2 linked regions of the Callithrix jacchus genome follow. The protein of the gene in region 1 interacts with the protein of each later gene in a biochemical or structural test. Links are inferred from orthologs where the notes say so. Each region holds a gene or a part of one and is shown on either strand. Other genes may lie near its edges. The genes, in order: REL and NFKBIE.

The links.
Region 2: the proteins of REL (region 1) and NFKBIE form a complex in vitro, tested with the Homo sapiens proteins (2 studies listed by BioGRID). The link is inferred for Callithrix jacchus from reciprocal best matches to the Homo sapiens genes REL and NFKBIE.

What each region holds. Positions count from the first base shown.
Region 1 is NC_133515.1:53,212,442-53,216,266, reverse strand, and holds part of REL (proto-oncogene c-Rel), read left to right. Parts: intron 1-3; coding exon 4-216; intron 217-1,914; coding exon 1,915-1,983; intron 1,984-2,433; coding exon 2,434-2,502; intron 2,503-3,610; coding exon 3,611-3,825. UniProt on the Homo sapiens protein: Proto-oncogene that may play a role in differentiation and lymphopoiesis.
Region 2 is NC_133505.1:52,725,661-52,728,410, forward strand, and holds part of NFKBIE (NF-kappa-B inhibitor epsilon), read right to left. Parts: intron 2,509-2,750; coding exon 2,406-2,508; intron 1,684-2,405; coding exon 1,461-1,683; intron 432-1,460; coding exon 343-431; intron 157-342; coding exon 1-156. UniProt on the Homo sapiens protein: Sequesters NF-kappa-B transcription factor complexes in the cytoplasm, thereby inhibiting their activity. Sequestered complexes include NFKB1-RELA (p50-p65) and NFKB1-REL (p50-c-Rel) complexes.

The sequences.
Region 1 (3,825 bases):
TAGATGACATAGAAGTTCGTTTTGTGTTGAATGATTGGGAAGCAAAAGGCATCTTTTCACAAGCTGATGTACACCGTCAAGTAGCCATTGTTTTTAAAACCCCACCGTATTGCAAAGCTATCACAGAACCTGTAACAGTAAAAATGCAGTTGCGGAGACCTTCTGACCAGGAAGTTAGTGAATCTATGGATTTTAGATATCTGCCAGATGAAAAGGGTATGACATTATGCTGGTAATAATTTATATATTTCTTAAAGTGGTCCTGCTAATAACATCTTGTAAGATTCATTTAAATACAGCTATGTATATTCATAATTTGTGTTTCTTTTCCTGGAAACTTTCCGTTGGGTTTTTTTCTTTATGCTCTTTGCATCTCATTTGTTGTTTTTTTTTTTTTTTTTGGTTTTGTTTTTTTGAGACTGAGTCTTACTCTATCACCCAGGCTAGAGTGCAGTGGTGCAATCTCAGCTCACTGTAACCTCCGCCTCCCGAGTTCAAGCAGTTCTGCCTCAGCCTCCCAATTAGCTGGCACTATAAGCACGCACCACCACCCCCAGCTACTTTCGTGTTTTTATTAGAGATGGGGTTTCACCATGTTAGCCAGGCTGGTCTCTGCGTTTCTTTCTTAAGAAAGAGGTTTGGGCCAAGCTCGGTGGTTCACGTCTGTAATCCTAGCACTTTGGGAGGCCAAGGTGGGCGGATCACAAGGTCAAGAGATGGAGACCACCCTGGCCAAAATAGTGAAACCTTGTCTCTACCAAAAATAGAAAAATTAGCTGGGCATGGTGGCACGCACCTATAGTCCCAGCTATTTGGGAGGCTGAGGCAGGATATTTGCTTGAACCTGGGAAAAAGAGGTTTCAGTGAGCCGAGATCATGCCACTGCACTCCAGCCTGGCGACACAGCAAGACTCTGTCTCAAAAATAAAAAAAGAGGTTTGATTAGTATGGAATAATTTCAAAGTATCTAAACTGCTTATTAAAATTTCTATTGTATTTTTGAAGGTCTATTTTTGTCCTTGTGCACTTACCACTCAGAGAGTAGTCTCTATATTGACTTCTTATCCAACCTTATTGTATTAGTTCACATTATTGACTTGTGTGATAAGAAAACAAGATGAATATTTTAAACTGTTTGTTTTGGTTTGTTTTGAGACAGGGTCTCACTCTGTCACTCAAGCTGGAGTGCAGTGGCATGATCATGGCTCACCAGAGCTTCAACCTCCTGGGCTCAGGTGATTGATCATCCCACCTCATCCTCTCTGGAGTACCAGGACTACAGGTGTGCACCACCACACCAGGCTAATTTTTGTGGGTTTTGTTTGTTGGTTTGAAATGGAGTCTTGCTCTATCTTCACCAGGCTGGAGCGTAGTGGTATGATTTCGGCTCACTGCAGCCTCTGCCTCCCGATTTAAGCGATTCTCCTGTCTCAGCCTCCTGAGTAGCTGGGACTACAGGCATGTGCCACCACACCCAACTAATTTTGTATTTTTAGTAGAGACAGAATTTCACCATGTTGGCCAAGCTGGTCTCAAACTCCTGACCTCAGGTGATCCACCCTCTTTGGCCTCCCAGAGTGCTGGGATTACAGGCATAAGCCACTGTGCACAGCCAGTTTTTGTATTTTTTGTGGAGACAGGGTTTTGCCATGTTGCCCAGGCTGTCCTCAAACTCCTGGGCTCAAGTGATCCACCTGCCTCTCGAAGTGCTGGGATTACTTTAAACAATTTTTTACCAAGAGAAAAATATCCTTTACTACTGATAGTACTGATTTGGGACATATTCTATAATACTTATTAAATCCAAATTATATACATATTTATTGAAAACATTTTCTATATGTGAATAAAATACTTGTTTATTAGTGGAGAGTTTAATTTTTTACCTGCTTTTTTTGGTTTCTTTCTAATCAGATACTTACGGCAATAAATCAAAGAAACAAAAGACAACTCTGCTTTTTCAGAAATTGTGGCAGGATCATGGTAAGAATATTTTTGATTGATTCATATTTAAATAGGTTTTGTTTTATTTGCTTTATTCAGGTTTTCAATTTTTACTTTTGTTTTGTTTTTGTTTAGTAGAGACAGGGCCTGTCTTTCAGCCAGGATGGAGTGCGGTGGGGCAATCTCAGCTCACTGCAACCTCCACCTCCCAGGTTCAGCAATTCTCCTACCTCAGCCTCCTAATTAGCTGGGATTACAGGCATGTGCCATCACACCTGGCTAATTTTTAGTATTTTTATTAGAGGCGGGGTTTCCCCATGTTGGCCAGGCTAGTCTCAAACTCCTGACCTCACGTGATCCACCACCTTGGCCTCCAAAAGTGCTGGGATTATAGGCAGAAGCCACCACCTCTGGCTGGTTTTTCAAATTTTAACTGATAGTGTTATTTTTCAAATTATATTTAATAATGGAAAAACTTTATCCTAACAGTTAATTTTCCTGAGAGACCAAGACCTGGTCCCCTTGGATCAATAGGAGAAGGAAGATACATCAAAAAAGGTATTTTATTTCCTATAGCATATTTCTTGTGATTAGAAAGACCAGAGCTTGGCACAATGTATTGGAACTCTGTATTTAGGAATGAATAACTACTTTTTTGAAAATTTTCTCTCCTTCAGATTTTTCTTGGTTTCAGTATAGAATGAATTGAACATGGCTTCTGAAGGTTGTGTTAGAAACAGATTGTGTTTTTGGGATTTATTTTTCAAGAAATAACATGTGTTTTATACAGTAGCAATTTTATTAATTATATCATGTTATGGAAAAAATGTTATTGATTTGGTTAGTTACCAATTTTTATAAATACAATTTTACTGGAACATGGCTATGAATATTTGATTAAATACTGTCTCTAAACTGCCTTTTTAACACCATGGCAACAGAGTTGAAAAGTTCCAACAGAGGCTGTATATAGCTCACAGAGCCTAAAATATTTACTATCTGACTTTTTACAAGAAAAAAAATTGCCAATCCCTAGTTTAGATAATTTGACCAAGGGCTAACGGGCTAATTAGAAGTCCTTTCTACCCCCTTACATTCTTAAATCAGTGCTTTTTCCTGGTTTAGGTTGTCAAGCATTTGTATAATATGTAAATAAATACAGAATTAATTTTTTCTGACTGTGAATTTTATAGTCTGTTAGGATTGTGTCATAATATATCTTAAAAGTTGTGTATTTTCTTATTATCCCTAATGGGTGTTTTCTCCATCCTTCCATTTTCTCCTAAAAGTGGAGAGTAAGAGATGATTTTGGCTGTTTGGAGTCCCATTAATTAAAATTCTCATATTTATCTTCCAGTTTTCAAAAATACATTTATAGAGCCTCAGAAACTAGATTTTCATTTAACTGGAGTGAAAGTACATATGCCAGAGTAATTTGCCAAAATCATTTTTCCTGTATTTGTAAACGGTATATGTTACAGAATTTCATTTTGGATTTGTGTAATAATTTTAGTGCTTTTTACATTTTTTATTTGAAATGTTACATTGGTTTCCTTGACATTTTTTTGTGTATTTATTTGTGTTCATATGCAATTTTAATTTAGAAATAATACTTTTTCTAATTTTGTTTATTTTAATTTTGTAAAATAAATTTTTCCTCCCACAGAACCAAACTTGTTTTCTCATGGTGCAGTTGCGACAGAAATGTCCAGACCTACAGGGATTTCAAATCAAGGAGAATCCTACTATCTCTCACTTGGGCACATCTCAAGTGGATTGTCACGTCATGCCTCAATGCCACCTCCGCCTTCTTCAAGCTGGTCATCAGTGGCCCACCCCACCTCACGCTTAGTCAATACAAATCCACTGAGCAGTTTTTCA
Region 2 (2,750 bases), on another chromosome or scaffold:
GCCCATGAGGCCCCGGCCAGCTGCCAGGTGCAGGGGTGTGCACCCGTTCAGCATGCGGGCATCCACCTGGGCACCAGCCTGGAGCAGGAACTGTACCAGGCCCCGCTCTTGGGTTTCCACAGCCAGGTGCAGCGCTGTCTTCCCACTGGTGCCCTCCTGGGAAGAAATAAGGATATCAGCCAAGGCCTTCAGAGGCAGTGTGCTGGGCCCAGGCTCTGGATAAGGAGGTAAATGCTACCACTTCTGACCGCTGGGCAGGGGGCTTGGGGCTGGGTCAGGTGGGGGGCAGAGTCAGGTGGGGGGAAGGCCCTGTGCCAGGCAGTGTGCTGATGGCTGCCTCACCTGCACATCAATGTCGGCTCCATTTTGAAGCAGCAGTTCCATGAGTGGTTGGTTCTTCTGCAGGGTGGCGATGTGGAGACAAGCCAGACCTGGGATGGGGTGAGGGTGAGGGCTGCTGATCTGCATCCACCAACTCCCTCTCTTCCGGGACCTTCCAGCCATTCAGCCCCAAGGGACTCACTGCCCACTCAATGTCTCTAATCACAAGACTGTTAAAATGCAAACCCCAAAACCCCCTCAAAAATTTAAGGGGAAAGGAACTCAAAGTTTCCACCTTTTCAGAGTCATGTTATTGAAACTTTCATGCTTCAGGAGTCAAGTTGCTGAGTGACATGCCAAAAAAACACCCTCCTCCTATACACAAAACACACACACACACACACACACACACACCTGCCTTCAAGCCCAGTCTGAAAGCCATCTTTTCTGAAAAGCCATCTAGGATCCTCATGACCCCAGCCCTTTCTCAGGGGCCACTTCCTTCTGTGTGTTCTCCTGGCCTTTTTGCTGTCCCCTTTCTGGTCTGGACACTTGGACACTTCCTGACCCTTGCTTAGTAATAGAGATTTTGATTCAAACTTACATTCTTCACCTCCCTCAAGTCCCTGTGCGGATGTCCCTGGCTCCATGAGGCCTTCCCTGACCACTCTATTTAACAATCCTATCAACTCTCCTGTTCCCCACATTCCTTCCCCTCACTGCTCTACTTTTCACTACAGCACTTGCTTCCTTTTAACTTATTACATAGTTCACTTCTTGTATTTATTGCTTGTCTCAATCTTTCTCTGTTTTGCACACAGACGCAAGCATAGTTCCTAGGATAATGTCTGGCACACAGAAAACCCTCGGCATGTTTCTGTTGAATGAATGAATCGGGTCATCTGATCTCTGTTAAACTAAGTACCTTAAAAGCAAGATTTAGTTTTCTGCTCAGCACGCAGTAGGTACTGGGTAAATTCTAACTCATCCATTCATTCATTTAGCAAAGATGTGCTGTATATCTATGTGCTTACAGTGGGAGGGGCACCAATGGACAAGCTGGGACCCTCCCTTCCCCAAGAATGGGAGCCCTATCTCCTATGCCCTCCTCCTCCCACAGGCCCTAAGACTGTCCACACCTTGCCAGTTTTGCAGCTGGAGGTCCAGAGAGTGAGATGGTCCTCTGCCTGGCTCTGGCCGCCCCTCCAGCAGGCAGCGGGCACAGGCGAGGTGCTGGCGCTGGCAGGCCACATGCAGGGCTGTGTCACCATGCCGGTCCTGTAGTGCCCGGCTGGCCCCCTTCAGCACCAGTGCCCGAACTGCACCCGGTTGGTCCAGATGTACAGCCAGATGGAGTGCTGTCTGGAGGCACAAATAGAGGGTCATGGGGCCACTGCAGCATGCTCCCACCTCTGGGAACAAGCTTGGGCTCCAGAATCACTAGCTGCCAGCGTCTTCTTTGAAAGCCACTTATAAAGGTCATAGCCTGGGCTTCCAAGGAAATACTACCAAGCCCTTCTCCTGTCACGCCTGAGTCCCACCAATCTCTTGGGACCCCAATTCTGGAAGCAAGGTGAAGAAAGTAGCTCTCTGCTTTTCTTGTAAGTCACCATAGGCCCTGGAGAAAGGATATGTAGGGACAGAGTCTAGCCTCTCATCCTGTGGGGAGACTTCTCTTATCCCCAGGCCTTAGGCTGCAGGGGTTATGTTGGAGGAAAGATAGAGGCACCAGGCAGTCTTTCCCTGGCAAACGTCTCTGCAAAGGCTCCATTCAGATGTCACCTCCTCTGTAAGCCTTCCCTGGCTGCTACACATGGACGGTGGACCCCATAGCAGCTGGTGTGTGTCTCTATCACAGCTCTTGTCACCAGGCTGTGTATTTAGCTGTTGACACGAGTCCCCCAGCCCAGGCTGCAAGCACCTTAGGGAGAGGCTGTGTCTTACTTGTGTTTGTCTCTTCAGCTTCTAGCTCAGTGTCTGGCATATGGTTTTCTCAGTGAGCGGCCTATGGACTAGCGTGGCTGCTGGGGATGGCTGTCAGGGCACAAACAGGTATCTGGGCACAACCCATTCTCGTCACCAACCTGGTAAAGGTTGTTTTGAATGTCCAGGACCTCCTGGGGCAGCAAAGCCAGGCAACAGAGCAGCACTGCTGGGGCCTCGTGAATCACTGCCAGGTGGACCAGCCTAGGGGAGCAGAGGCAGGGCTTACAGTTAGGGCCCAGGCCACAGGGAGTGGGTTGGGGTCTTGGGGTTAGAAGGAACACATCAACTTTTACTAGCTACCCATAGGGTAGGTCCAGCAAGTGAGAATTTGGGCCAGGAAGTAAGGGTTGATGTGGGAAGCCAGGATCCTAGGGGTTGGAGCTCCAAGTTCCCACTGATGGCCTTCAGGAGGGCCTCGGCTGGGTGGGCATGTGGGCAGGGTG